Linked DNA regions of Danio rerio. The protein of the gene in region 4 interacts with the protein of the main gene of each other region in a biochemical or structural test. Links are inferred from orthologs where the notes say so. Each region holds a gene or a part of one and is shown on either strand. Other genes may lie near its edges.

Region 1 (8,378 bases), on a different chromosome or scaffold from region 4:
ATTGATGACTCAACATCTTCTGCCAGCTTGTAAAAGAATGAGTGTTGAACAATGTCAATCTTTGATGAAAAAGACTTTGAATTGTTGCATTTAAAAAATATTTACCTCTTTAGTCTCAGGAAGATTCGCTTCTACCATATTTTCCTTGCTTTCAGAAACTACCTGGGGAGATCTGGAGGGGGGACAAAATACAAATCAATGGAGCTCGTTCTTATTTGCTAAATGCGTTTATACAAATAGAATTTGAAAGCATTCAGGGTGCAATTAATAAGTTCATGCATCCCCTTAGAATAAAATGAGGTAGCTAGCAACATACACTGCTTTTGAGCAATAGAATCTGATATGGAGCTTTAGGCCTCATTTACACTTAGCAGAATGGACTGGTACTCTTCAGTAGGAGTCACCTTGACCAAGCTTGCATTTCAACCATCAAAATACCAAAAAAGAAAGCCTTTCAGGTCGTTGTTGCACTTTTGGCAAACTCAAATTAATTTCAAATATAGACGTGCATGCAAAGAAAACAGCACCCTTTTGGACAGACTCAAACAATAGAGGCAGCAGATTTGGTCTTTGCTTCTTGGAATTTAATTGCAACAAGATCAAAACAATCTAGTATCATATTAATATGGTGTCATGCGTCTCAGCTGTATTTTTTTGTTTTTAAATTTTCGATATTATAATCATCTGTAAATCCATTCGGTACCGTACTGTTGCACTAGGTACTAGGAAAGAGTGCCAAAAAAGTAACATGGTATTGTTTACTGCTTTAATACTTTTGACGGTGGAATTACAGTTAAATATGAAACCGTACTTTCAAAACCATGCTATTTAGTAGAATCAGGCCATTATTAGCTTGTGCAGATAAGAAATGTTCAGCGTTTTGTGTATGCGGTGTACGTACCGTTGCTCAGGTTGGTCATCCTGCGCAGGAAGTGTCTCAAGTTGCTTAACAGGAGATTGTGCTTTCTTCAAAACTGGACTGGTCTGGACCCCACGTGGTGGTGAGTTTCCCATCATAGCCTTTGTGCCAAAGGGGTTAAAGTTTGGGTTATCAAATTGTTCAAAATCAAAAGTGTAAGAACCTTTAGCAGAAGGAATATCCACAGGTTGGGTCTCCTCTGGGCTTGTAGGAGACATCTGCTTGGGTTCTGCATCTTTTTTCTCTGTGACTGGTGCATCTGTTTTTTTGGGCACAGGTTTTGCACCAACAGGTCTTTTGACCCCAAGGCGTTTTGGAGGAGGTTTGCGTTTAACTTCAGCTCCATCATCAAAATTAAACTCTAATAGCATCTGGCTCTCCTTTGGGGCAGTTGTAGATGAGGAACTCTCTGTGGCAGTGGAGTTCTCCTGAGGTGTTATGGATGGATCGGAGGATGTTGGGATATCTGTCTGGACTGATAGCTCTTGTTCAGGTTCGTGGCTTAGCAGGGGTGGGTCAAAAACTGTTGATGTTTTGGTTGGAGGAGAGTTGGGGATCTTTGACCCACCAGTTTGGAATGGGTTGAGCATTTCAAGGTTGTCAAAATCCAACTTGTAAGATCCTGCAGAAGGTAGTGGCAAGTCCTGTGCCTCGGGTTGACCCTCAAAAACAGGAATCTGCTGTGGCTCTGCCACTGGGTCAGTGATCTCAGTCTCCTCTGTTTCATTGGTGCTGTTTTCAATATTCTCAGTCTTGAGGATGACTGTGCCCTCTGCTGAAGAGAGGTTGGCCGAGCATTCTGCAAGGGAATTCTCCACTGATGGCACAAATGGGAGAGTCTCATCAAGTGCACTTTCAGTCACCTCTGGAACTTCAGCCTGAGGTGCAAGAACAGGGGCTACGTTGCCCTCTGTCGATGAGATGTTGGCAGAGCATTCTGCAAGGGAATTCTCCACTGATGGGACAGCTTCTTCAAATGCACTGTCAGTCACTTCTGCCTCTGTCTCTACCTCTACCTGGGGTGCAGAAACAGGGGCTATGGTTGTGTTAGACTCTACAAGCTCTGATGTTGCCGCCTCCGTAAAAGCAGAAGATTTAGGTGGGGAATTCGCCATTTTATTGGAGCCCTGGAAAGGGTTGATGGCATCAATATTGTCAAGATCAAAGGAATAGGCCCCTCTGCTCTGAACAGGCATGTCATCATCAGGTAAAGCAACACTGTTACATTCTATGTCAATTGGTGTGGTGTGAGTGTTATTCATCAATGAACTCCTGAAAAACACAAAAGGAGGTTTTACACGTTAGCATATTTGTCCATTAAAAACAGGTTAAGAGGCTTACATAAAAATATTTTAAAAATTAATCTTTAACCTAGTTTTCTTATGAATACCTTGTACTATTAGAGTGGTACATTAAAGTTGACAAAATATTGTTTTAGCACTGAAATATTGTTTTGCAATGTGGGCATCAACAATAGTCAAGAAGAAAAAGTAATGTCAAATAGGAATCCTATTTGAGCATGCACCACAGGTCAAACATGATATGTGGATTCAATTATAAAGTTGAATCATTATATTGTGAAAGATTTGAAAGAAATATGTCCTTTCACCGTGAATACATCCCAAGCAAGTTTACAGCTTTCAGACAAAATTTTTGAAAACCCATGTTAATATTATTTGGAAACAGGATCATTATGTTTTACCCATCATTTTACACCAGAAGTCTCTGGGTCTGTTCGAAGAAGTGCCTTTGGTGGAAATTAATATAAATAAAAGGTACACCAAATACACAAATGGTCATCAACAGTCCTGAACAATTGGAGATGCAGGTAATTTACTCACTGGTCAGAAAGGCCTGTGAGAGTCTCTAGTGCATTTTTGTGATCATCCTGGCTGATCGGCCTACTGGTGCGGCTTGGAGACATGATCTTCTTTGTCACTGGATCTCGCCGTGGGGTTTGAAAACAAACCTATATAAGAGAAATTAAGTAACGTGCAGGTTAGTCTAAGCTGTAGTACAAGGCCAAGAAAGGGTTCAATTATTACATGCAAAATAAAATTTATAATAGTACAAATAAATACTGCATTTGTGAATATTAAAGAATCCAAAATAAAATGTAGCATGGCTTCAACAAAATCGACCTGCCATTCATAAGTGTTTTTGTTTCTTGAAAAGTCACTCAGATGTGCTCATATGACACTAAAGAAAGTGTCTATAGAAAAGGTAAATTTACAGTCAAAGGAACAAGTTACTTTTTAAAATGGAAAACACTTGGTTTATAACCAGTGATTTTATTACACATTATACAGTACAGAAAAAATACTGCATGGAAATTTGTCAAGCCCACCTTTGCTGCTCTAGGAGCAGTCCTGTTAATGTTGTCAGCCTGCGACTGCCGCAAAATCGAGGGTCTGCCAGTCGGCTGATCCAACATGAAAATGTCACAAGCGAATTCAGAATTGCTGTTCATCCGTACAGCTCCCTGATTCTCCTTCAGCGCGTCAGAACTCATACTGTAAAACAGAGACACAGAAAATGACAACATGGGTTTTGGAAAGTCACGCCCAGCAGGCACCATAAACAGCTGCTTTTGCTGATAAGACCCGGAGGCGGGCATCTGACCCAACACCCAGAGACCCTAGTCCTGAGACACTTCAAATCTGTTGCATCTCCTTTCAGACTAACCCACTGTGACTAATAACCCAAACCAGTGACAATTTAGCCTTGTGCTGAGGGAACAAAGTGCTTCTTTTTAGTGAAAAAAAAAAGAAAAGAAAAAAAAAAAAATATATATATATATATATATATATATATATATATATATATATATATATATATATATATATATATATATATATATATATATATCATGATCAAACACTATGCCAATCCCCTGATACTGTGATTTTTTTGTGAGAATAAGTAGGAACAAGGAAGAGATTGACAAACAAAATCAAAAAACAAAATCATTACCACTTCTGGCCTTATCTGTTCTTGCCTGGATTCTGCTCAACTATGTAGGCCTGACAATATGATTGTCAGCTTTGTATTTGACAGGTACTTCTGACAGCTTCTCTCTCCTACAGCTTACCTGGACAGGTGATAAACAGCTCACTATCATAAATCAAATGATCACATTTTAACCTGAACAAAAGTGAGATATCAGATCAATCCCTCACTTCAGTGGAAAAATATAAATAAACCACATAACGTTTAGCACAGCCAGAGAATTGAGTGCAAGACAGAATTTAGCCTAACAGCTCACATACCCACGTGGATGACAAAACAACATTGAATACATGAATGAATAAATAAATATAGAATTTGTTATTTATTTAAAAAAAAGTTTTTAATGCAAATAAATTAACGTTATCTCCAACAGTGCTCAAAATCAATAAGTTACACGTAACGTCATACTTAATGTTAATTCTACATTTTTATGCCCTTTCCATACGAACTTTAGAAATTTAACTATAACAGAAAAAAAATCTCTAACGTTACATAAAGGATAGCTAACAATCACTTATCGCAATCTTAAAATAACAGGATTAAGTTAACGTTACATCAGAATGTTCGACGTTCTGGCAACACTCACGTAGCAAAAAAGTCAAAGCGATTAAGTTACCTTTATGGTTTCATATCGCGCATTAATAACTTACAATCCTATAAACGTGGCTCGGGGGCGGTTTTCTAAAATACGTACCTTATTCAAACTGCTCAAATCTAATAAAAACCGTTTTCTTCGCAGAGACAGTCAGCTCGACACACAGCATAGAGATGTTGTTGTTGCATTTATAACTTTCCCCGTTTGAAACGGTTCAAATTTAAACGGCGCACTCTCAGCCAATTAAATGCAAGAATCAACTCTCGTCAGGCGGGGCGATTATACGAATCGACCAATAGCATCGCACGTCAATCTGCGCTTTTGTACAGGATATACATTTGACAGACATCCAAACCAGCCAATAGGGTAAGCCGTTGACGCAGACGGTTTATGAAGATAAATAACCTCATTTAACCCTTTTACTTGTTGAAAACAAGTGTAGATTTGACAGTGTAAACTACTGCTGTTGTTGTAGCTTAGATATTAGATATAACTGTTTTGTTTTCGTTTACAGTGTTTCGCTGTACTGAAGATGATACTTTAGTTTTGAGTTGTCTTGAAAATGGAAAGTTATCAGGGAAGAGTGATGTTTTGAACCACAATGTACTTTCACTGTATGTTTTCTCCATACAATGAACGTGACGACAAGCTTTGCAACAGGGTATGTATTAAATATGAATTTCGTTTCATATTGCAATAACAGTGCATGTTATGGACATAATTGTCTTTTATAATTTTAGTTTTTGATAATATATTTGCTGTTAATCAACGCATACATTAAATCATTTTGTTGTTGATGCATTTTTTTAAGCTTTAATAATAACTATTTTTTATTATTACCATCAGACATGGCAATACATGCATGTGATATACTTGTCATTTAAATGACAATGTACTTGTTGTTTTGAATTTAAAAAAATGTATTGTAAAGAAATTGTTTGTATAGATTTCAATTACAATGCATATTTATTTCAATATATTTTTGTCATGCAAAAATCACTTCAGCATCATTTACGGACGCAAGTTTTTACAGTTTTATTAGTTTCTAAGCTAATACATACAGAAAATAATAATATTAATATAAAGGTAAAAGATTGCAGAGGCACATGCTTATGCATAATTAGTTTGATCACAAATACTCCATTTTCTTCTACAAAAAGTGATTTTTTTAGAATTAAGTGGTGATTTTAAAAAAGAATCCTCAAAATTTCTTTCACAAGGTAAAAACCATTTACCATGAATTTGGTAAAACGCCTTGAAATATATATGTTTATTGCTGTTTTTGTGCATTATTATGAACATAATTATCTTTTTAAAAAGTATAGTGGGTACAATAACTTTTTTTTATGATTTACCTAGCTTTAATTACCCATTTTTTTAATCATTACCAGCAGTCATGGCAAGCAAAAGCATACATTTGATGTACCTGTCAATTTTGAGAAATTTTTAAATTTAAACGTAAAAAAAACACGTTTAAAAGTTTATAGTGTTTCCATAGATTTCAATTACAATACAAATTTTTCTCAGAATGATTTTTAATCACTTTTGGACTCCAGATTTATACAGATTTGTTCTTATCGATATTAATAAATATAGAAAGTAATAAAATTCATATATAGATAAAATGTTTACAGAGGTTTATACCCAATTTGTTGATTTTTATTCTGAATTTTCCGAATCAAGCAGTGATTTAATTCCCTTCTGTTAAAACCTTTTACTCTAAATATGCCAAAAAAGCATCAAAAATTTTGAACCTATTATCATTCAGTGTTCAGGTTTTTGTGCTAGAAATTTATGCAGAATAATCAATACTAATTATACATGCCTACTTAAATATAGCATTGTAGAAACTTGTAATACAAACTTTATGATTTTTGCAATTCTTAATGTTTTCAGTCAGCTGTGGAAGCATGGCGATAACTATTAATAATTATTTACCCTTTTCACCTGCAGTGTCTTGCCTTTTTTCGCAAGAGGGCAGCATCGGATCACATCCAATGCCTCAATGAGTGCCAGACTGTTATGGGATCATGTATGGTAAGCTTAAACAAAACAATGCGTGCATATATATGCCTTTGCGAATGTTTATGGACTTGTATACATAAAAATATTAGAAATGCATTGCGGTTGTATGTTCATTTAGTATGCCAAAAACATTTATAAAAGAATCAAAGACTAAACCAAAAAAGCACACTGAAGAATGGGCGGGGCAGGGTAGAGGAGAGGAGAGAGTTACATAACAAAGGCATGTTTGTGCTGAGGTCAGTCAGTGCATTGACTCCCTCTCCCCGCACTACTGACCTGCATTCAGCTTACATCACATACATTAAACACACAGGCTACGGATATCGGCTGTCCTCAGACGAGGTGATTTCATTTATTTTAAGACATAATCTGCATATGCATTTTCTGCATATTGTATTTCAGTCTGAGAATAATCTGAGCACATCTTTTGTAGTGCTTTCACAGTTTAGAATAAAAATGTAATAACAATAATTGTTTATAATTTATTTAATGTATTTGCTCATTCATTTGTTTACAATATTTAAGATCTGATATTTTATAGATGTTATAATGACCTGTTTTCTCATAAATGGTAAAAAAGCAAGTATTTTCTCATTATCTATTTTATTCATTTATTTAAATATTATACAGAACACACTGACCTTTTATGTATTATAAGTATAAATGTATTTATTATAAATTATTATTATCATTATTGGAAAATTCCAGTAAACATATCTATAGTTAAATCTGTGTAAAAAGAAAAATATATTTAGGCCTTCCCCCATATCTCACTTACTTTCATCTAAAAGTAAATGTTTTGAATGCAATATTTATGTTCATGTTGTTTTGTTAGAAATAAATCTGTAGGTTTTATAAATCATCCATGCTCACAATCACAAGATAAAAATGGTTATGAAACCAAATGATCACTGAAATGTTGCACAAAAAAAGTGAAACTAACATTTATGAGCTTACGAAAATAATTAAATATGGTTCAAATTGACCCAGACAGCAAGATATTCAGATATTTTATAAATCATCGAATGCTCATAATTAAATGTAAAAAATTATTATAAAACCAAATGATCACTGAAATGTTGCACAAAGAATTGTAAAACCACCATCTGGGAATTTAAGAACAAACATTTATATGCTTTAAATTGACCCAGAAAGCAAATAATATGTTTAGATGTTTTATAAATCATCCATGCTCACATTTAAAAGCAAAAATGAAACCAAATGATCACTGAAAGGTTGCACAAAAAATGTGAAACCACCATTTAAGAGCTTTAGAAAATAGTTTAAAAAATGGTTCAAACTGACCCAGAGAGCAAACATTTTATTTAGATATTTTGAAAATCAGTGATGCTCACAATTAAAGGCAAAAAATGGTTACGAAACCAAATGATCACTGAAATGTTGCACTAAAAAAAAAAAAAAAAAAAAAAAAAAAACGTGAAACCAACATTTAGGAGCTTAAGAAAATAATTAAATATGGTTCAAATTGACCCAGACAGCAAACATTATTCTCAGATATTTTATAAATCATCTAATGCTCCTAATTAAATGTAAAAAATAGTTATAAAACCAAATGATCACTGAAATGTTGAACAAAGAAATGTAAAATCACCATATGGAAATTTAAGAACAAACATTTATATGCTTCAAATTGACCCAGAAAGCAAATATTATGTTCAGATGTTTTATAAATCATCCATGCTCACAATTAAAAGCAAAAATTAAACTAAAAGATCACTGAAATGTTGCACAAAAAATGTGAAACCACCATTTAGGAGCTTTAGAAAATAATAAAAAATTGTAAAAAAGCGAGTATTATATTCAGACATT
Region 2 (7,893 bases), on a different chromosome or scaffold from region 4:
ATTGGTACATTGCTAACTGCTGCTTATATAAGATATATTTTTATTTTTTATTTTTTTTTATAGTGTAGCTCAGAGATGATATGTTTTCCTGTTGCTCACAGCTTCATTTTTATGCAATGTCAAGCCAGACTTTTAACTATAATCAGCATAAAGTTATGTCAACTTTGAAGCTTATACTGGTCAAAATCCTGTTCAGCACAATAAACCGAGTAACTTCCACTGAAACTTTGTGGAGTTGCATGCTTCCGGGAGGTGGTGTTAGTGTGCTGTGTTGTACAATGTTGAAGTCTTGTGATTGTGCAGGGTCGTATAACGCAGTGTTGTGCAGTGGTGTGTGGCATTTTATGATGTGGCTGTCTGCTGCCTGCAGTTCTGTGGTATTGTTGTGTGAGGGCAATAAAGAAAGAAGACAGACCCACAATAGTGTCGTTGTGTAGTGATGTTTGTACAGAATTAAAGAAAGCACAGTGACTCACTGCTCTGCAGCAGGGCCGTCTCACTCCATTTACAATCGCTCAGCACCTCCAGCCTTCTCTCCAGCTGACGGCTGTACTCCATCACTTCCTGCACACACACACAAAGATAACAAAACTCACATTGTATACAGTGAAATAATGTCATACTGTTGGGTTTAAAATATCATACCGTTCATCACCCTGTCCCTAAACTATTGGTGTAATGGATTAGATTTCAGTCAATTCTTATTGCCAGTTAGGAGTTTTGACGCTAACCTAATGTTTTGGTCATAAAATGATCATGTCTCAACTCTCAAGTTTGTCTTAAGTCTCATATACATTTTTAAAGTAATGTTTGTTCCAAACTTTGATTGAAAAAATTTATGAGATGAAGTACTTGCAGTATTTAAAATGAATTACTCATTCTGGGGTAACATTTACATGAACCCATTTGGCAGATGATTTAATTCAAAGAACTTAATTACATTAAAGGTACACATTTTACCTAGGAATCAACACGAGGGCCTTTACATTGATGATTGTGGTTTTAAATTAAATAACATTTTCATTTTCTGTTTTCTATTTTAGCACAACTATAGAGAGAATTTATCAACTTTCTTCTTCAGCTCATAACCTAAAGTGAATGTGTCTTTTTTTCCAATAGAATCAGACAGAATTAGAAATACATTACAGTGAAAGCCTATAGCGATGATAATAAACTTTCAAAAATCAAGAGACTCTTGTGACAAATTTGCTTCTCCTTAATTCAATTTTATAAAAATTTAACCTTGCACTAGGACTAGCTAAATATCTAAACCCAGTTACTTTCTTTTGGTATTAGAAAATGGATATCATAAGGGGATTCACAACTGCATATCCCTGAATACACTGCCATGTTCTGCAAACTCCATTCACTATTATTACAACAGTAACATGCTAACCAGATGTTCATCCACTCCGAAAGGATAAAGTTTATAGCTCACGTAAGATTTCTTTACTTAAGAATTCAAGCAAAGACTAACAAAAATACAAGCTTCAGATTTCTGTATTTAAGTCCCGTGGGTCTGCTTGTCTGCTCAGTTTCCAGTATAAGTGCATTTACTATGTGGAAAATTGCTTTAAAACCAGGGTCCCTGAGCTGTCAGACACACAAAGAACAAAACATACCCATAAGAGACAGGTTGTTCTGTGGTTTAAAACTAGTACAACAGCATGTTTTTGCTATTGCCTTTAGGCTCTTGTGAATGCGATATTTGTTTACCAAGAAAGTGAGGACAACTAACACTAAACAACTTTATTGCGAACTTATTGTATGACCTGTGCGAACCAGACTTTTGAGCTTTGATAAGAACATGATGGCACAGAAAATAGATCTTGCCTGTATTTCTGTTTGCAGCTGTTCCTTTTCTTTCTGAGCCACCCTGAGACTTGCCTTTAGCTCCTGAAGCTCACGCCGAGTCTCACTTAGCTGAACCTATACACCAACACAAATTTGTTTAAAAAAAACCCAAGACTCATGATTTCAAATATTTACTTGACATTACAAACATATATTGACACCTTCATTTACATTCAATTTAAATAGCAAACGTCAAATATAGGTCACTAGTCAAATTTCTGCAAGCAAATGATAAGCATGTGATATTGGCCATGTTAACTCCCAAGTGTATTAGACAGGTCTAAAAACTTAGTTTTAATTACTGATTTTTAATAACTTGATTTGGCTGCATGCCATTTGTTAATATTATGTTTATATTTAAGTTTTAAAGTAAATGTTATTTATATGCATCTTTTTTTTCTATAGTCTTTCTTGTAAAAAAAAAAAAAAACACGCCGATCTATACCAAATGTAAAATTCTCTTTATTTTTACGTGATTTTTACTGCCTAAAAAGCTGAATTTCCATGGCCTATAATGAATGGAAAAACAGTGTTACTGTGCTTAATTAATAAATAAAGCACAACATTAAGTCGAAAGTGCTCATAATATTCAAATAGTTTGAGCTGGAATTTTTCATCAATGTAATAGCTATTATGAAAGCAACAACATAATTTATCAAGATTTTTTAAATAAATGAAAAGAAATGAGCACACAGTCTAACACCCTGTCATCGACGTGGTCATTTTCGAGACAGCTATTGAAATTTACATTTTGTTGACATGTTTCTATAAGTTAACAGGTACAGCTTGATGACTGCTGGTTAACAAGCAGAAAGGAATAAAATGGCACTGAAAAAAACAACAATAGGCAAAACGTGTGAAACAACATAATAAAAAACAAGATTAAGTACAGAAAAATGACATTTTGATAAATGGAATCTAATTTTAAGCGACAAACAAAAGTCTCTGATATTCCCGGGCCTGGACAAAAATATTTAAAATTCCCTGACTTTCAATGTCTGGAATAGACCTTTTAAAATCAAAAATTCCATGACCCTTGGGAACCCTGAAGAGAGTTTTCTGTTTACCCGATTGCAATCTTTCTCTCTTCCCAGCTCCACCACTGCTTTCTCTCTCTCCATCCTTGCCTTCTGCAACATCTCCTCCTTCTGCTGGATCTCATCATTTTGGCGTTCCAGACGCACTTTGTCAATCTGAAAATTAATGCAATCACTTATATGAAAAACAGTCTTAAAGTTGTTTTTTTGGTTTTGTTTTTAATATACATTTTCACTATACTGTATGTACCTCAGCATTCTGCTGCAGTGTCTCTCTCTCCTGTGCCCAGTTGGCCCTGCCTTCTCTCAGAGCCAGACTGGCATCTGCTAACTGAAGTGTGAGCTGTGCGGCCTGCAGACGGGCCTGATGGAGCTCAGCATGTGCACTGTCTCTCTGAGCAACCATGTCTCTCAGCTCTCCCCTCAGAGTCTCCACACAGTGTTCACTAACATTCAGACGCTCCTGAACACTTCGGAGTTCATTCAAAGCCAATTCATTGGCTGCCTGCTCAACAATGACACAAACATGAAAACGTCATGCCCTTATCAGACTACAGTTCTGGCGTCCATTTTAGCTATCTTTTCATATATTTCTGTGTGTGTGTGTGTGTGTGTGTGTGTGTGTGTGTGTGTGTTTGTGCCAAATTTATACCAAATTTTCGGGAGTAATTATAAGAACTGTAAATGCACAAAACATGAGGCTGTTATAATTTTTTAGAGTTGGTGCTGTTTTTGTTAATAATAAAATTACCTCAGCATCACAAATTAAGCCCATGCAACTCTGAATTCAATTCTACTGTCAAATGTGCATATCTGAGAAACAAATCTTGAATATTTAACAATAATAATAATATTATTATCATATTTGCAGCACAGCCAAATCAGACAATGCTTCGACCATTCATACTGCTGACAAGTGTTAGTTCTAAAGGGTCTGTTCACCAAAAAAATAGAAAATTATTATTAATTACTCTTCCTAATGTTGTTCCAAACCCCTGAGACCATTGTTTGTCTTCATCATCAAATTAACATATTTTAAGTGAAATCTGAGAGCGCTCTCATCCTCCATGGACAGCAAGGTTCAAGATTCAATCAAAGTCCAGAAAGGTACCAGAAGACATCCACAAACAGACCATGCTTTTAGTGGTTTAAAATGAAAAATATCAAGCTACGAGAATAGTTTTGTGTGCACAAACAAAAACAACTTAATTCAACAATTTGCTTTTCTCAGTGTCAGTATCTTGTGCACATTCATGACTGTTGTTGATGTTTTTGGTGTCTTGGTGTCTGTTTTTTGAATGAGCCTTGAACTTTGCTGTCTATAGAGGATGAGGGAGCTCTCAGATTTATCCTAAAAAAATCTTTATTTGTGTTCTGAAGGCTAACAAAGGTCTCAGGGGTTTGTAACAACATGAGGAGTAATTAATAACAATTAATAACAACAAAGCCTTGTAATGACTACTTACATTTAGTTTACATTTACATTACATTTAGTATTTGTTTAGTTTTGTTTGCATCTATGTATGTACACCTAGGTTTCGGTTCATGTGCTGTATCAGGGCTATAAATTGCGACAGTTTTGGTCACATGCGGCTGAAATTTTATCTATGCAACCTCAAAAAATAATTGGGAGCGTTTGTGCATAACGTTGGCATGCGACCATTTTCACTGCAATATGTTCACCGCATGCGCGGATTTAGAAGACATTTATGCAGAATACATCTTTGTCTGCTGTGAAAATTATTAAAGCATTCACTGTAAAGCTGGTGTGACGGAGTTTGCAGGTAACCACGTTTGCCACATCTTTACTATTTAAAGGGCACCTAGGTTACCCCTTTTTTCAGATTTAATATAAGTCTTGTGAGTCTCTAGAATGTGTATATAAAGTTTCAGATTAAAATACCCATCAGATTTTTCATTATACCTTTTACAAGATGCTGTTTTATACTGATTTCCAGCAGGGGGTGGTTTTGTCGTACTGCGCCTTTAAGACGAGTCTTTCCCGCCTACTGTTTCTAAATGCCTCCTCCCTCAGCTGCGTCAAACAACAGACAGACTTAAAGGAAGAAGGTCTCACGTAGCGTTTGTGAGATACTACAGTAAGAACTAACCTTTACTAATCAGTATTGTGAAGTTGCATTGATGAGTCACACACAATATCGTTACAAATTGCGCGCACACACACACACACACACAGATACACACGCACACCGCAGATGACACACACACTCACGGGCAGGCAGACAGACAGAGCGCGCTTAGCTTAGTTAAGGCTAACCTCAAGTACTGTGATGATATCTGTTATGCTAATGTACAAAATAAACCTGATTTAACTTCCACAAACCGGGATTGAAGCGTCTTCTTTTATAATTGTTCTGACACGTGGCTGTGCTGATGAAGTAAAGCGCTGTAATTAGTTACACACATACTCTGTTTTAAAACACTTGAAAACATGTGAAACTTACTCTTAATCACATTTGATGATGATTGCTGATCCTAGCGAACAGAACAGACCTTTTATTCCCGGTTGCTTTGCGTATGTCTGCCTGGTCTTGTTGACATACACGTGACTACCGGAACATGTTAATGCGCGCAGCTGTCAATCAATTCGGTGGGCGTGGGGATCGCACACCTACGTAATGGTGCGATCGATTTGAAAACAGCTCCAATTGGCCGACCCTTTTTTTGTAGTTAAATTGAAAAAAAAGGACTGGGTGTGTTCATATCACCCCAGTATGACGGTCTATACACTATACCAACACACAGATCTGTCCAAACAGCTTGAAAAGTAGATTTTTTACCATAGGTGCCCTTTAAGCCTGAGAGATTCTATTTTATCCTTCTTTTAATTGTCATGCAGTCAGCCATGCAACTGGCAGCTATATGTAAAATGTAGCACAGTGTACACCATAGCAAAAGGGCTTACAGTCACTAAGATTAACCTAATATTGCAGCTCATGAAAAGATCGGTATTGCTATTAAGATTACGTATGCAAATAATGTTAATAGCGTCTTTGGAATATCAGACACCACCTGTGAGAACAGCACAGTTATTATCAGTAACTAAGTTTCATTCATGTCAAGAAGTGTGTGGGCGCATGAAGATTTTTTTGTTGTTGTTTATTAGTTTGATTAATGTTGATTTTAAATGAAGTAAATCTGTTAATATAAAACTTGTAGTAACGGTGCTCATAATTGGTGGGTGCGACTACATTTTGACTAGTGCTCTCAAATTTTTTCAGTGAGGAGCACCAGTGCTACTGAGCAAAAAGGTTAATTTTGAGCCCTGTATATTATTGTCAATAATGCATGATTTCAGCCTCTTTTGTGCAGTTATACAATCTACCAGCAGGGGCTGTCTGGACCATACAAATCAGTCAAACTTTGTCCCCCTTATAAAAATAGCATGCACTTTAAGATCACTATTTCAAATCACTGTTTTGAGACAGGACATCCTGTGTACACCTCCTCAGACATTCAAGGTGAAAGCTGGGGTGTGAAACTGCTGGAGTGTTACCTCCTTCCTGTGAGCGCTGTTGAGTTTGTGTGTGAGGGTGGTGATGGTGTCTCTAAGCTGCAGGGCGTGTGTGTCTCTCTGGGCCAATGAGCTTCTCAGACTCTGGAACTCTGCTGACAGACTGTGCAGCTCTTTCTCTGTCTGCTCCATCTTTAACTAGTATAATGCAAAAAGCAATGACACGTCATGAGCATGTACATCTCTTCTATTTGTAAAAAACTGCATTGGTATTAGATTAGAAACCTTCAGGTTCTTGTGTTCATCTTCATCCTCCCTCTTCTGAGCTGCTGATTTTTTAGCCCTTTCCCTCATCCTACAAATCGCAAACATGAGAACCAATGAAAACATGCAGCTCAACGAGACAATAAAAACACTGTTTAGAAGTGGATGCATATGTGCACAGTATATGAAACACTAACATGGCCTGATTTGACCCAGAGAACACAGTAGAAATATTTACTTTTAAAACACATTAATTGCAAATATACTTGACTAATGAGAAAATAATAATCATAATAATACAAAATCTTGATTATTGATCGCAAGTGGTCACTAAAAACACATTTCAGATATGCTAATATAAGGTGAAAACAAGCATGCACTACAACACAAGCAGTGTGGTTTGCACCACAAACAAATAGCTCTTCGAAATGCAAATGGTTTCAGTCATTGATTTCAGCCTTCTAAAACTATTTCAACTACAATCAAAAACATTTTTTCCTGATTTGACAAAATACATTTTAGCTGCTGGAATTTCAGTGCTGCATTAATCATAAACATAAATCATGGTACACTTATTGCAGTTATGATTTCTGACAATAATATCTGTTATTAGCTGATTATGTTACTACATTCCTTAAAGGCACAGGTTATGGTTACACTTTTTTTTTTTACAATGTCCTAGTTACTATACATTTACACACTGAATGATATTCACTTAATAATTGTACTATAGGGTTACAGTGATGTTAAGTTGATGTTTAGAAGGTTCAGTTGCATGTACCATAACTGTATAATTTATTATTACTATAGTACAAGAAACTTATAACAAAGGACATCATAAAATTGTGTCACTTGTCTCGCACTAATGTTTTGAAATAGTTTAAATCTGTAGAGTTTTAAGCATCAACACTAGCTACATGTTTAAATTCCAAAATGCTAATTAACTTTATGCGCAAAACTTGAATAATGCATAAAAGACGTGTGAATAAAGCAGCGTTTCCATCCAACCAGTCAAAGAGAACAAAATCGTCACTTTCTGATTAACTGGTGCCAAATATCAACAGTTAAAATGGAATTTGCTGCGATACGAAAAGCAGCGTGGATCTTTTTCTTATTTAATAAATGACTTTCACCTCAGAAAACAATGACGACACGCAATGAGTGTGTGGTGGCATTTAAAGATGTGAGACAGAGCACAGATGCTCTTGACAGTTCTGACTACGTAGCTAGTGAGATGGAAAACATGAAATTCTAAACAAAATG
Region 3 (7,893 bases), on a different chromosome or scaffold from region 4:
TGGTTCAGTGTGATGGCTGAGCCTGTTTCTGTAAGGACAACATGCTAATCTGTGGTTAGATTCCTGACACTACTAGCCATAAATCATCTTCCACTGTCAATAAGTGTGAGCCATAGCGTACATGCAAAAAATGTTAAGTATTAAGACAATACTTTGATTAAAAGTGTGCCATATAAACGGCGATATTTGATTACCTTAATTCGTCTAAAGTCATAACTGAACTAAACAGAAATGGAATTAAGACATGAGTTTGCATATGTTATTGGCATTATTGAAGTAAACACCGCAATCCAACTATTACCATGATGTAGGACATTTTGCCGAAAAGATCTACACACACAAGATCAATAAACACAGCTGTCAGTAAAGGATTGCACACGCATGCACGCACACACAATGAAATGCAGAGGTTTTTTTTTCTGCTTTCCATTCGGCTTTCCATTAAAACAACACTCCTCCACCAATCTTTACTTTATATTCGCATCTAATACCCCAGTTTGTCACAGGGGCGTGAATGAAATGTTCATGAGAGAAAGTGAAACTTGAAACGAACTGCAGTAAAGTCGAAAAACTAAAGATGAAACACCCAAAATCACATGAGCCTCTGCAGGAAACGCAAATAGCCTGGTGACGCAACATTCATAAAGCACTTCACGTAACACCTTAATTATATTACTGTCTTATTAAGGCAAATAACTAGTCAGTAGTGTCTTCAAAGTAAGTGAAAGATCCATTTTTTTGTAAGACAGCTCACCGGTTTGACGGGTTTTCACCTTCAATCATTTTATAAAACACGTGCTCCATTTTATTTGTATATATTTTACTGGAACGCATTAACTCTACAGGTGCCTGTAGGTTAGCTGTGGAGCAAACATTAATCATATTCCCTTTAGTGGACGCATAAAAATAGTCATCATAATTTACTTGAGTGCACGACTCAATGTCTCGCAACCCCCTTAAAAGGGGCTGGCGCACCCCTCCCCTCCCACAGTTTGAAAACCCCTGATCTAGCCAATTGAAGAGGAAAAATCTTAAGTGAGCTATTAATATTGATACTTAAATTATTATTATTTTTATTACAATTTAGTTTTTTCCAACTAAACTAAAAGAAATAAGAAAACAAACATAAACGAAATACTGTGAAAATGTCCTTGCTCATTTAAACAAAGAATATTTGAAAAATAATAAAGATTTCACAGGAGGGCTAATAATAATGTAAATGTACACTTTTGGCTTCAGAGGTTTTGCAGCAGACCAGAGTATGTGTGGTATCACATATGTTAATTATAATAACAATAATAATAATCATTATAATAACAATACAAAAATTTGGAAAAATAAAAAAGACTAGTGACGGGAAGGGGTTTGGACCAAGCAATTGCATCCTCAGACTAAAAGAGACTTACCTTGCACTCTCCACGGCATTAGAGGACGACGTGAGCCGCTCGTCCAGCAGCGTTACTCTGCGTCTCAGCTCTGCCTCTCTGTCCTGAGCTGATAAAGCCTCCCGTGTGTATGAATCCTCAATCTCTAACAGGTGATTGCGCAATCTCTCCACCTCCTGCTTCAGCCGCTGCTCTTTATCGCGAGTATGCTGGAGCTACAGGCAGACAGGAGAACATGAATAAACAGTAATTCCACTATTGCAATTCTTATAAGATGTGATGATTAATAACAAACAGTAACAATAACAAACACAGCCTTTTCTACCTCGCTCTGCAGTGCAGATGTCTCCATTTGTTTCTGTTTGAGGGCCATCATCACTTGATCTCTTTCTTGCTGAAACAACACTGCCTTCTCCTGCATGGACCGAACTTCATTTAACAACTGGTTCAGCTCACCAGATTTACCCTACAGTACAGACAAAAGCGCGACAGGTCAGTTTCACAACATATATAAAACACAGCGTTTATTCCATCATTATAAAAATGCACTCTTTACAGTATTAAGTATGTTGGGAATGCGAAATAAAATACTTATTAATAATAATAATAATAACAACAACAACTCAAAACAACATTCAGAATTCTCTTTTGTACATTAAACATTAATTTATTTGGTCAAAATAAGTGTAACAAGTGTAAAACTGAAACATTACAAGTATAAATGTTTTCTATTGTGTTTGAAAATCCAATTGATTCCTTTGAGGATGTTAAAGATGCATTTTAATAGCTATTATTTAAGTCCTTAGTGTCACATAATCCTTTTTCCCTAGAGTTCATTGATTAATTTGTTTGAAAATGTTTAGTTATTTTTATAGAGTGACACAAATATTGGTTTAAAGGGTCACGAAACACCAAAACACATTTTTTGAGCTGTTGACAGTCGTATATGTGTCCCACACTGCTAAAAACACTATTAGGACACCTATATTTCACTAAAAAGTGTAAATTGGTTGTTTTTGCTTTATTTCAAGCAAATTCGTACTTCCGGTTTGAAACGAATTTTTGAAGCTGCGTCACGGTCATGACATAATAGCGCTGTATTCCAGCGTGCAGACTGGGCGTCTGTGCCAGAGTGAGTCTTATTACGTCTTACAGTGTGATGCATTAATGCATGAGTAAGGCTTGGTTCAAACCAATCAGCGCGCTCTATTGTGCAACTTCATTAATATTCATTAGTGTCACCGTGTTTACGCCCCAGAGACGCCACGTTGTGTTGGCAAAACAAGCGTGAAGTGTTGCTTTTATAGTTTGCTGCCATTAAGTTTGTTTTCATTTTCTCTCTGTGAGAGCTCATCTGGAGTCACGTGTGGATTACAGTGTACGCGACGCTCGACAACAATAACTTACGTGTCTAAGGAGGAACATTGTTTACCTGAGAGCTGTTCTCATCTGCAAACGCTGAAATCCGGATTCGCTTGTAACGTTAGTCTTCTCTTCATAATGACGCGGCTCTAGTTGCTGGTGATTGTCCTGTCTCTACAGATTTGGTAAGTGAGCGACCAGTGCTCTTTGTTTATTCAGTTTGTTCGTATCGAATTAAGTTAACTATTGCACTGAGTGCAAACATAGCACCGCATTTTGTGACCGGAATAACACACGCGGCTTTCTGACGCTACCTGCCGTGTGCATCTAAGTTTCCGGGAAATGCAGAGTTTTTTTTCTCTCATTCGCCGTGCGGTATCAAACATTGCATGAAAAATACACGCTTAGAGCAGATCCTCGAATCAAATATCTCGTTTGTCGGGAGGGACATTAATGAATTCCCTGAATGAAAGAGCCAAACTGCAGTTAAAGTCCAACATTTAACAATTTGGCAAATAATTCGACTACAGATGTCCATGTAGGTTAAACACCATCACTTTATCATGTGTGTGTATTTTGACTGAAACTCACGCGTGCCCACATAGACACTCCCACACCATCCCACTTTAGTTCCTCCGACACTCCCCCCTAAACAGAGCTGGACACGCCCACTTTTCTGACTTTTTCCAAAGTAGAGGTGTGAAAACACCCTGCTGAAACGAGGGGGTTTCATGGCCCTTTAATATCTGTCCTATGACAGGAATTCTTAAAAAAAATGTATTACTGATAATTTACCTTAATATTCTAACACTCAAACAAACCAAGAATCAGACATACCTGCTCTTTATCTTTCAACATCTTCTCCATGGCAGTGGCCTTCTCATTCACAGCACTGAACTGAAACTCTCTTTCCCGAAGCAACAGTGACACCTGCATGTTGGTCTCCTGCAGAGCACGAAACTCTGTCTCTTTCTCACGAGCTTTGGATGCAATCGCTTCATTCTCATCCTTCAGTTTCTTCACATCCAACTCCAGGATCAGCGCACGTTCCTTCAGGTTTGTCACAGCCTGCTTCAAAACTTCATTGTCGTTCTCACGGTTGCGTAAAGTCTCACTCACCTGGGGAGTGTACAGAAAAACCTCATGATCAACACCTTTGCAATCTACATTCAATCTACCTTCAATGTCTTTTAAATCTGGAGAGAGTTTGTATATTTGCACGCACATGCGTGTATGAAGTTATGTATGAAGGATTCTTGAAATGATTTTAGAATAATGTTGGTTTATTAATTAAAACCTTGTATACATATCATGATATGATATGCATATTTATACAACAGTTTAGTCTGGTTCTTGAATCTGATTGGCTGATAGCAGCACGTTATTCTGCAAATAACAGCACTTGTCCAGCCTCTTAACCCTTCACCCTTGTGCAATACTCGGCCCACATACAGCAACAAGCAGAGGACAGTCTATAGTTTGACAATTATTGCTGCTGTTGGACAACATACTGTACTTTTGAACCTTTTTAAGTCGAGAATGTAGTTGTTTAGATTGCAACTAAGCAGTTTATTTATAAGGATAGTGCCTATTTTAAATATTTATAATATCGGAGCATTGGATTCAGTGTATCGTCCGCCATCAGCCTGAGCAAATCCAAGAAAGTGATGATTGACTTTCCGCCACAAAATGGTGACAGAGACCACATAATAAGTCCTTAGGGGAGAAAACAGCATTTACTTAGTGTAAATTTCAAACTACAACAGAACAAATCATTATACATCAGGTGGGTGACATTCTAAGTCGATCTCTCTCTTGTATTTTGTAGTGCTGTATTTATACCACAGAATCTGGTAGTGTTTGCTTTGCTCTGGCTTTTTTTGGGTTAATTATTGTGAAATCCTGATTGCAACAGAGAAATACCAGGAAATCTCTGTAGACTGATGGCATTTCATGCCGTTTAGCTTGATAATCTTAAAATGTGAGCAAAAAAATCACCTGTTTTGTCATCACTTTGGTCATTACGCAGGAGAATGATTCAAAAGCTAGCTCTAAAGTGATGTTGGTAAAGTAGCAATGGTTTGGTAAAGTAGCAATGGTTTCTGCTGTTCTGACTGTCAGCAAATAGCTTAGATCTTAGTGATTCTATGATCTTTGCTGTCAGCTGCAGATGTGAATGAGTGGTAAAAGAAAGTTGTTCCTCATACAAAAGGGTTTTTGAGACTCTGTGTTTGATTTTCTTTCTTATACACACAATTATGCCGTCGAACAGTTTTACAAATACAATATCACTCTTGTAGTATTGCGATGTGGCTGTATCTCGTAATGGGTGGCGGCACTAACGCACGCCTTCCACCAGTGTCGATATACAGCCACATCTGTATCAATATTACTCTTGTAATATTGCTCATATATGAAGTTTGTGTGTACCGTTGTGTAATATTATTGCCGTCCTTTTAACCATATTATTGTCCATTTTATCAGTTTACACAATAAAATAACTGATAAACTGATAATAACTTTATAAACACCAACCTGTCCGGGGACTAGGGATGAAAACTAGCATTTTGACACAATGCAGCTTAGGTATTGTTGTGTATTGTCCTTCTACATTACCTGCCCGAGCTGGTCCCCTTTAGTCTTAATGAGTAGATCTTTCTCTCTGAGGGAACGCTGCAAAGATTCTTGCTTCTCTCTAGCTTGCTTGAGCTCCTCTGCATGGCTTCTCTGCTCACTTTCAGACAGAGATGCAGAATTTGACAAGCGATGATTGTTTTCCTGCAAAGTTCTTATCATGCTCTCTTTCTCTGCTAAAGTTCTCTGCAATGCCTGCATATCCTGATGTATATGGTCATCTTGGGCTGAAGGTGCTGCCCCCCTCAGGTTTGAAGGGGCAAGAGCCTGGCTAGGAACCATGGCAGACAATTCTGGAGATTGCTTGACACTGCCAAGCTTCCCGAGGAGAACGTCTTTGGTACTGGTCAGCTGGCTGATGGTCTGCTGCACCTGTGCCAGCTCTTGACTCAACAATCCAAGCTTTTTCTCTTTCTGCTCATAGCTCTGAATAAGCCTGGCATAATCCACAGATAGCTTCGAGCTTGAGTCACTGTCGGCAGAAACCTGCCCCTGCAGCTTGAGCAGCTCCTCATGCAGCTGTGCAGATTCATGCTGCATGTTCCTCACGGTCGTGATCACCTGCTGCTTCCACTCCTCCATCTTTTTAACTTGCTGTTTGAGAGTGTCACGTTCCTGTAGGAGCTCCTCAAACTGGTTGCTGCTAACACCTCCAGAGCCACCACTCACAGGATCACTGCAGCCAGATGTTTGGAGGACAGAAACCAGGGTCTGGCATTTCTGTGTCAAGGCATCGATCTCGATGTCTTTCTCACGGATAATGCGGGAGAGGTTCTGAATGGTCTCTCGAAACATCTCTTGACTCCCTGAAGGGTCGCTCATGGTGGAGAGCCGCTGGTTTTCTTGCTGAAGCTTTAACAGGGCTGCCTCCTTGGCAGCAACTATGTCCATAATGCGATGGTAGTCTGAGCGCAGCTGACTGTTCTCTCTGGTCTTCTCATTGAGTACAGCCAGCACCTGTTCCCGTTCCACCGCATACGCCTGCAGCTGCTGCTGAAGGAACACCACATCTTGACCATGGCCTCCAGACACTCGAGCATGAAGCGCTTGGATTTCTAGATCCTTCTGGCGCACCATCTGTGAGAGTTTTCCCAGCTCATTTTGAGATACTACAAGTTGGTCCAGCTGCTTGGTTAGACAGAGGTTCTTTTCATTGAGCTGGTTAATTTCAGTCTCCTTCTCCTTGATGCCTTTCACAAGTTTCTCAATTTCCACCTTTGACAGGTCATGTTTCTCATTACCGTTTTCACCATTCAGAGACTGGGTCTTATCTTCCTGTAGAATTTCCACGGACTGTATTTGACTTCGTCCTTGTGTGCTTAGGCCCTCTACTTCTGACTGAAGCCGGGCAATCTCTTCATCTTTAGCACTGATGAGTCTTTCGTAATTGAGTGCGCTTTGCTCGTTTCTTGACCGTGCTTGCTCTAGTTCACTTTGAAGGGAGCGTTGAGACTGCAGGGCTGTTGTCTGTTGTTCTTCAGAAAGTCTCCTCAGAGCTTGGACCTCTTCTTTGAGTTGATCTCTGGCAGCTTTGAGCTGGGCGACCTCATTCTCAAGCTCTGTGATGATATCCAGTGTCCGTGGCTCTGACATTAACTGTGGTCTGCTCTGCTGGTCCCTCAGACGGTCAATCTCTTCTTTCAAATGGCTGTTTTCTTCCTTCATGGCTCCAAGCTGTTTGTCTTTCTCTTCCACTGACTTTCTGAGAGAGTCACACTCTTGACTTGCTCTCAAGATACGGGTCTCCAACTCTTGTTGTGTTTCCACAGCTTGAGTTTTTAGGGTTTCTGCAAAAGCATCCTTCTCCTGGAGAAGCTCAGTGAGTTGATTTTGGCCAGCCACTGTTATGTCCAACATCTCGCTGGTGTCTTTTTGGTCTGAGATCATCTGCTCTATTTCACGCCTAAGCTCTGAAATTGTGAGATCCTTTTCTTGATTGAGTTTCACCATTCGCTCATGTTCGGTCTGCAGTGCAGAAGCATCCATGGAACGTGCTCTGGTCAGTTCATCAATAGTTTGTTGATATTGTTTAGCCTGATCTGACAGTCGCTTCTCAGTCTGACTTAGCTCAGATTCTAGCTGGCTCTTTTCTAATTTCAAGGCCTCAATACGGGTGTCTTTCTCGAGAGACATCCTGCTTAGAGAAGCTTGACATTCTTGGATATGCCTTTCCAAGCTGTCCGTCTTTTCTAAAGTCCGAGTCCTTTCTTCTGTCAACTTTCTATTATCAATTTTCAATTCAAAGTCTTCTGAAACGGCCCTCTCGTAAGAGACCTTCACTTCTGCCAACTCTGCTTTTAAGTCATGGATGTCTTTATCCCGTGCCTCAAGTATTTTCCTGTGCACTTCTAACTCATTCCTCTGCTCCCCTGTATGGCTTAACTCCTCATGAAGTGCAGTAAGTTCTGTCTCTCTCTGCTGAAGCGCTCTCTTGAGCTCAGAGGACTCCTGCCGCAACTCTTTGCCCAGATCCTGGGACTTGCACAACTTTTCCCTCAACTCCTTTACTGTA
Region 4 (7,893 bases):
ATTTTAAAAACAAATAAATAAAAATTAATAAATGAATAATACAAATAAATAAAAATAAATGAATAAATAATACAAACTAAAGACTCATTAATATTATCAAAGTAAAACTGTGACTGTGCAGGGATTTAAATCGGGGAAAATCAAATAAAAATTTATTTTCCCTTGGTTTTGAGTGTGGGCCTGAAAAATCTTTATTCGAAGGGGTATTCACTCCCTCCCCTTAGCCCTACGCCTTCAAGCTAAAGAGAATTGGAACACCCCTACCCCTTGGTGTGGGAAAGGGAAAGGGCTAAGAGGTAGAATTGGGATTGGGCCTAAGCCTGAATGCTTTTTTCGTGACCCACCTGAGTCTGGAAGCCCACCGTGGCCGTACAGCGGTGATCCACAAACGTGTAGACACCCTGAGAATTGTGGCGGGAGATGAACTCCACTGGAACGCTGATGTTGTTTATGCTTGTGTCGCTCGGGCAACAGGTGACCTGCAGGTCAAACAAAGGTCACAAGGTCAGAGAGAACGATGAAGGGTCAGTTCACCCACAAATATTGAACCACCACTAATATTGAACTCTGCCCCTCACTGACTCCTCTGCCCACCCCTTACAACTTACACTGCCCATAACCATTGCACTATTTCATACTGCACACTTGACATTGCATTTAATCATTGCACTACACTGTACATACCCATTTGTAAATGCACATATCCACTGAACATATACATTTGTATGATATACATATCAATTTGTAATTCCTGTTACAGCAAAACCTATACAGTGAAAACAAATATTCAAAGATGATTCCTTGGATTTACCAAATTGTTTTAATTTAAGTGGTTGTAAACTATTTATTTGGTCTGAATCTAAACAAAGAAATTAAGTTGAACAGTACCAAATTTAATTTGTTTGTTTAATTTCAACCCGTATAAATTGTTTGCAACAATTTTGCAGGAATAATTTTTTTTTGTGCATCTTATGCTGATATGTATTTGCATATCCCTGATTATTAATAGCAGCCTTTACAATATGTTCATCTATTTGTAAATATCTGATTCTAGTTAATATGACTTGTATATTATGTTCACAGTACATCCATCTGTAAACATTTCCAATAGTTTTCTATAATTGCACTTTTTACTTATACCTGTAGCTATATCCTGCACTTGCTGCTATATGTGGAAGTATGCTAAAGGACTTTTAATTTGTCAGTAACCTAAGTTAAACGCTTCCGGTGAACTGTATGCCATTACAAAATCAGTGCGTTTAAGGTCTGTTTTCTTTAAAAAAAACAGAGAACTACTCTGGCTTAGTGATATCCAATATAAAGTGGGTCTCAGATTGTACAAGAAGCACTGCATTAAATTACATTTTCCCCCGCCATGTCTTCAAAATATAGACATTTATTTTACCCTAGTATATTCAATGGAGCATCTGTGCTAGCCTGTCGATTCTGCAAGTAAATGGCTTTTTGTCTCGTTTAACGCTTGAGCAACTAAATGAATGCCAAAATCTATTTAACTGCTTGTATTTTAATTACATTACAACATCGACGCTGTAAAAGGAACCGCATAAAATGGTTAAAAGTCACATTAACCGTTCACCAGAACTTTCAGTATGGGAAGAAACACTAGCTCCGCATATACCATAATGCACTCCTGGCTAGACTTAAACTGCATTTCCTGCCTTTAACATGTGTAATGAGAATCTAATCTAAAATAAATTCTTCAAAATTAAGATAATTTTCAATGAAACTTGAGCGATTTTCTCCATCCATTAAAAGAAATTCATAAAGACTTTGTAAAATGTAAGATTTGTTTATTTTTAAGATCACTTTCAATGTACCTGTTCTCCAATGCCTCATAATGCTTTGCATAAATTAACATAAAATAACTTCAGTTAAACTGTAAACAATCAGTGAAGCGTTTTAAAGGTCACATGAACTGCTTTGAAATATGCATTTTTATTTGATGTTTGACGTAATCTCAACCAAAACACAAAGAGAGGGTGGGAACGTGTACCCCCTGCCCTTTCTTAAAAACAGCCAATAGCATTTTGTTTTTATCCCATCTCAGCCAATAAGGTTGGTTGAGCTCAAGCGCATGAAATGAAAAGCAAATGAGAAGCTTATTGAAGGGGGCTGGGCATGTCAGGTATTTGATTGGTGCATATGATTGGTGTGATTTGATAAGAAACTGTAGTTTTTTTAAAAAGATTTATTTTTGGCCTTTTTGCCTTTTTTTTAGATAGGACAGTAATCAGACAGAAAATGAAGTAGGAGAGAGTAAGAAGGGGCAAGGTCGGGAAATGTCCTCGAGCCGGGATTCGAACTCGGGATGCCCTAGGTGGAAGTGACAAACTACAAGCTTTACATGTTTAGATCAGTTTTATATCTTCCAAGCGCAAGTTTTGACACTGTTCTGGAGCACACTAGCCTGTGGATATCTTAAAATCTAACAATACTTGTACTAACATCTAAAAACTTTATTTTAATTTCATGGGACCTTTAAAAAACTGAATACAGTGAGTTTTAAACTGAGGAGAATATCAACTCATTGTTGATTGTGTGTGTAGGGGTCGGACAACCACATACATGCCCAACACTGGTTATAAATAACATATTATTAAAAAGTTTAAACAAAGTTGACAATTAATTTTTCACAACAAAGCCATAAGAGAAAGATAATGAAGCAAAACCATGACTCAGTGCAGATTTGTTTTAAAGATGAATACATGAACAAAAAAGCAGTACCTGTAGCCTTCCGATGGCAACTAGACAGAAACGATTTCCCTGATTATTATCAGCCTCCTCCTCAGACAGGTTCATTCCTGAGAGGATAAAGCCAGATATTATTCCCAGCTCCACTCTGTGTAAACAATAGCCACTTCCGGTGTATTGTGTGCGTGTATACTGTACCTGCAGGAGGCCAAGATCTGATGTAGCCTGTGCAGTGGACAACCACATACTGCTGCTCGCCGTCTTTAGCAGAACCCAATCCGTTCCTGCAGAACAACAGGAGATGAGAGAAGGGTTAGTTCACGCACAAATTATAATTATTCCATGATTTACTCAGCTTTAGGACATCTTAGGTATAGCTGACTTTCTTCTTTCAGTCAAAGCTACTTAAATATATTTGAAGAGTTCACACTTAGCTGATGATTGATTATAAAGCTTGTTTGGCATGCTGTCCCAGAAGAGAGCCCTGAGCTCATAAGATCCTCGAGCCCAAGGCTCCTTCCCGTTTGTAAGGCGAGAGGGGAGTTTGAGCTCAGGTAGATCTCAGAAGTCCCCTGCTGTAGTAACTAATAAACATTTCGTGATTGCTCTTTAGAGATAACTACTTACTAGGAGCATGTCTATGGTGCCGATTTGGATTAGTCAATTAATTTAAGTTGCATGTTTTGGACGGTGAGAGGAAACCAGGGAACCCGGGGGGAACCACATGAGCATGGGGAGGACGTGTAAACTCTGCACAGAAACGTCAGCTGGCTTGGTAAAGACTAGAACCAGTGACGTTCTTGCTGTGAGGCAACAGTGCTAACCACTAGGCCACCTTGCCACCCATCTAGGAAAGGAGGAGGAGTAGGGGTGGAAGGGGGGATTCTTTAAATTGATGATGGCTGTTATATGGGACTGAGGATATTTATAGTACCTTAGGAATCGTCCGATATGATGAATCATAAATTGAATAATGCAGGACAACTGCAAGCAATCATAAGCAGCGATCCTCTTGACATTAGTTTATAAATAAACTTCACATCATTTTAGCCTCATTTAGCTCCACAATTACTTTTTTTCTCCAAACAGTTCAATACAAGTCCACGAAAGTGTACCCATTCATAATAAAGAAACGTTTCAAATGTGAATAAAGGTCTTCTGTGGTGATCTTGTTAGTTTTTTGTAAGACATACGACCACATAAACCTTTATAAACAGTTCTGTGCAATTTGTTAAAAGCACTGATTTGCTAAAGGAGACTTTTATTGATCATTGGAGCTGTGTGAGGCACTTTTTGTTATGAATGGATGAGCTTAATTATTTTGGACGGCTGATAAAAGCTTTCCAATGTAGAGCTGGAAACTTCTTTTTAAATAACTCTGACTGAAAGTAGAAAGTGATATTCACCTAGGATGCCTTGAGGTGGGTAAATGATGGGTTTTCTTTCACTTTTAGGTGAACTAACGCTTTATATCTATTTATGAACTGAGATTGTCTCACATACAGACAAAGAGAGACGCTTTACCTGTTTCTGGTCCTCAGGAAGTTCAGTCTGTTAAGAGACACAGGCTCTACTGGACACACTCCACACCTACAACACACACACATCATTTCACTTGAATAAGTAGATATTGTGAATAAATCTGTAAAATTATAAAAGCCCTGCAAGAGGGCAAATAATTTTGTCTTGAACTGTATATAAGAATTCAACACTTTTTTACATGACCTTTAAAATAAAGGGTTATTAAGGCCTGACATGTATAACATTATAAAAATGTTTTATCGGTTTAAAGACCCCAGTATACTGAAAATAAGTTATTTTTCGTAATTCGTTTGAGTTCAAAAAGAAGTTTGAAAAGTGCCAACATACTGTTTTCAAAAACTCTCAACACCCCCTCGCTGCAGTAGGCAGGGTTGTAAACGTTTCTGCTTATGTGTATCCCTAAACACAAACGGCCAATTCACATGCTTGACGGAGGGCATGTCTGAAGCTTGGTTCTGACACAATCATCATAGCAGCATCAGCCAATAAAATTAGGGCTCTATTTTGACGGTACATGAGCAGAGCGCAAAACGCAGGGCGCAAATGCTTTCAGGGCGTGTCAGAACGCGTTTTTGCTAATTTACGGATGGGAAAACCTGCCTTGCGTCGTGGTGCATGGGCTAAAAGGCTTGAGTTTATTTTCTTAATGAGTTATAGGTGTGTTTTGAGAATAAACCAATTAGAGTCTCATCTCCCATTCCCTTTAAGAGCCAGCTGCGTCGCGCCAAGAGCGCATTCGCTATTTACAGGACGCAAAGTAAGTCTAAGTGGAAAAAATGAGCATTTCACTAGCAAACAGTTAACAGTTTTTTAACAGAAAACTGTTAAACAGAGCATCTACTGCGTGAGAATGAGAGATAACGGATCTACTTTCACATTCGCTCTTGGATAGGGAAACCTTTACACACAGACATCAATTAATAAATAAATAATTTTGTTTGTTAAGTGCAAATATTCGTTTCAAAACTATTTCTAAATTCAGTTCTAATTTCCAGCAAACGAATAAATGAACAACAATAACAAAATGTGCTCAAAAACCTGAGTTATATCCTAAAACACATGCTGTGCCCCATATGGTCTAAAACCTGACAGGTGGGCAAATCTAAGCTTGTTTTTAATAAAACAAATATAAATATGGATATAATAAATAATACTGCTAATAATAATAACATTATACAAAAGCAAATTGTTATGAATGAACTGAAAAAGCCTCCCGAGATGAAGAAGACAAAAAAGCAGTGATTTTTCATATTTATGTAGGCTAGAAAATAATATGTTTTGTAATATTTTAATCCTTTATATTTATATCCTATATCTATTCTTATTATATCCTATATATATCCTTAATATTTAAATTTTTTCATATGAAAAGATATTTGCCTTTTGCTCTCTTGTGTGTATTAAGCAGTGTGTAAGCGAGGCGCAACTCTGCGCTGGAGTTTAGACCGGGTTTGTTTTGGTCTAATGAAAAATCTATTATAGTTTCTCAAAATAGCAACGCGCCAGCGGTCCGCCTCAGAACGCCTCCCTTTTTAGACCAGAACGCCTATGGGCGCACAAATGAGCGCTAATGCATTTGCTATTTAAACAGCGTAGCGCAACGCCTCAAAACGACTCTTGCGCCAAGCTGAAACTACCAAAAGACTATTGCGCCGCGCCTTGCGCCACACTGCGCCGGGTGTATGATAGGGCCCCTAGTCTGCAATTGGCTACTGTCTCAGCTAAGGTATTTACATAAAGCGATCTGATTGGCTGACAATTCTCTTTGCGCTTAAAAAGTTGAGAAATTCCCGAAGCAGTGCAGACGGATCCACAGTTCAGTTCGGCAGCACTTGGCGTCACCCATTCAAAGTGAATGGGAAGTGTTGACGCTGATGCCTGGCGTGAAGCAATCTAACCATATTGGCTGAGAGAGCAAGACGGTTTTGCAAACATCGGGAAAACTGTAAACTTCTCCAGGTTGTCACACACTGGAAGAGAAGAGCCACATCTTTACATTGTTTTCTATTTGCCACAGACACCGATCATAAAGGCAAATTTAAGACTTTTTAAGACCTTTATTAATGAAATTTCAGACTTGTATATGGGGCGTATATGGGTGTATATATGGGGAGATTTTTTTCTAATGTAAAAGGAAAAGATTTTCACTTTCCTCATCAAAAAAAATATATAATATAGTTATTTCTTAGCCACATATAATAAGTGTGTAAAAATAAGCAAACTGGTTTCATAGATGCGCTTTTTTTTAACACAACATAAAGCTAAATATATGCACTACTGTCTCTCCAGGTCAGTGTCCTCACCATAAATAAATGGAGAATGAAGAAACAAATGTTATTGTAAGGAAGGTAATTAAACTATGTTAAATAGAGGTAAATAAAATTAATAGTGAAACTGTAAATGTAAGACTTTTTAAGGCCTGAAATTTATTTCTAGCCCTTAACACCATGAAATAGGAGCAGCTTGTTTGTGTGTGCACATCTAAATATGACCATGCATTCAGTCTGTAGTGAAAAACAGCAAAAAGCGAACATTAAAAAAAAGTTAGATCCTGTAAAAACCTTTAGTTAACATTGCAATGAGATGATCTATAGGAGTAAAGCAGTGTGCTTTGTGTCTCACCTCATTCTGCAGATGAAGGAGCGCCTGGCACCCATACTCATCCTCACAGTCGCCTGACCACCCTCCTTCTTCACCGTGCCCGTTTTCATATCCAACATCCGGCCTAGAGTCAGAAAAGGGGAGCAGGATTCAAAGGTTTTGTTTATGTAAAAAGGGTTAACAGAAGAAAGTCATGCATAGCTGAAGTCAAAATTAGTAGCCCACCTGTACATTTATTTCTTTTCCAATATTTTTCAAATGATGTTTAACAGAGCAAGAAATGTTTCACAGTATGTCTGATAATATTTTTTCTTTTGGAGAAAGTCTTATTTGTTTTATTTTGGCTAGAATAAAAGCAATTTATAATTAAAAAAACATTTTAAGGTCAATACTATTGGCCCCCTTGAGATATATTTGTTTTTGATAGTCTACAGAACAAACCACTGTTATACAATGACTTGCCTAATTACCCTAAATTGCCAAGTTAACCCTTAAAATGTCACTTAAAGCTGATAACATTAATACTAGTATCTTGAGAAATATTATGTACTGTCATCAAGGCAAAGATAAAAGAAATCAGTTGTTCAATTAAATAAAATGAATGATTTGAACTAGGGATTTTCAGCAGAAAGTATGGCAGTGGTTTCTCACCGCTGTTGTTATTGTTCTCGGTGGTGGAAAGCTGCTCTCTGAGCTTCTCCACATCGTCTGGATGAAGCTGATCATATAGTGAAGATCCCAGCCAGTCTGACTGAGCCTGGTTTAAAACCGGCGTTACAGAATCCGACACGTAAACAACGCGACCAGTCTCGCACGACACGACAAAGAGAAAACCATCAGCCGCCTCCAGAATCAGATGCTTCAGCTCCTACACAGAGACAGAGACAGTGAAAACATTTACAGAACCATCATCATCATCAAAATCATTCAGTACAGGGTTCTGTACTGGGTCCATTCCTGTTTATCATATATCTACTGCCTCTTGGTCACATTTTCAGAAAATACAACATACAATTTCACTGTTATGCTGACGACAGT

What was found.
Region 1: the proteins of arnt (region 4) and tacc3 form a complex in vitro, tested with the Homo sapiens proteins (2 studies listed by BioGRID, with this or other methods). The link is inferred for Danio rerio from reciprocal best matches to the Homo sapiens genes ARNT and TACC3.
Region 2: the proteins of arnt (region 4) and calcoco1a form a complex in vitro, tested with the Homo sapiens proteins (2 studies listed by BioGRID, with this or other methods). The link is inferred for Danio rerio from reciprocal best matches to the Homo sapiens genes ARNT and CALCOCO1.
Region 3: the proteins of arnt (region 4) and trip11 form a complex in vitro, tested with the Homo sapiens proteins (3 studies listed by BioGRID, with this or other methods). The link is inferred for Danio rerio from reciprocal best matches to the Homo sapiens genes ARNT and TRIP11.

What each region holds. Positions count from the first base shown.
Region 1 is NC_133188.1:39,349,430-39,357,807, forward strand, and holds the start of tacc3 (transforming acidic coiled-coil-containing protein 3), read right to left. Parts: upstream 4,740-8,378; 5' UTR 4,623-4,739; intron 4,011-4,622; exon of another isoform or gene 3,893-4,010; intron 3,433-3,892; 5' UTR 3,432-3,432; coding exon 3,267-3,431; intron 2,889-3,266; coding exon 2,761-2,888; intron 2,192-2,760; coding exon 902-2,191; intron 173-901; coding exon 106-172; intron 27-105; coding exon 1-26. Other genes in the region: mfsd2aa (sodium-dependent lysophosphatidylcholine symporter 1-A), read left to right, coding at 5,125-5,184, 6,477-6,560. UniProt on the Homo sapiens protein: Plays a role in the microtubule-dependent coupling of the nucleus and the centrosome. Involved in the processes that regulate centrosome-mediated interkinetic nuclear migration (INM) of neural progenitors.
Region 2 is NC_133198.1:39,087,993-39,095,885, forward strand, and holds part of calcoco1a (calcium-binding and coiled-coil domain-containing protein 1), read right to left. Parts: intron 6,722-7,893; coding exon 6,652-6,721; intron 6,565-6,651; coding exon 6,409-6,564; intron 3,397-6,408; coding exon 3,142-3,396; intron 3,048-3,141; coding exon 2,922-3,047; intron 1,930-2,921; coding exon 1,834-1,929; intron 565-1,833; coding exon 477-564; intron 1-476. UniProt on the Homo sapiens protein: Functions as a coactivator for aryl hydrocarbon and nuclear receptors (NR). Recruited to promoters through its contact with the N-terminal basic helix-loop-helix-Per-Arnt-Sim (PAS) domain of transcription factors or coactivators, such as NCOA2.
Region 3 is NC_133188.1:36,628,446-36,636,338, forward strand, and holds part of trip11 (thyroid receptor-interacting protein 11), read right to left. Parts: coding exon 5,364-7,893; intron 3,867-5,363; coding exon 3,585-3,866; intron 1,852-3,584; coding exon 1,711-1,851; intron 1,601-1,710; coding exon 1,407-1,600; intron 1-1,406.
Region 4 is NC_133191.1:4,802,442-4,810,334, forward strand, and holds part of arnt (aryl hydrocarbon receptor nuclear translocator), read right to left. Parts: intron 7,724-7,893; coding exon 7,507-7,723; intron 6,980-7,506; coding exon 6,877-6,979; intron 4,303-6,876; coding exon 4,237-4,302; intron 2,997-4,236; coding exon 2,911-2,996; intron 2,823-2,910; coding exon 2,746-2,822; intron 480-2,745; coding exon 345-479; intron 1-344. UniProt on the Homo sapiens protein: Required for activity of the AHR. Upon ligand binding, AHR translocates into the nucleus, where it heterodimerizes with ARNT and induces transcription by binding to xenobiotic response elements (XRE).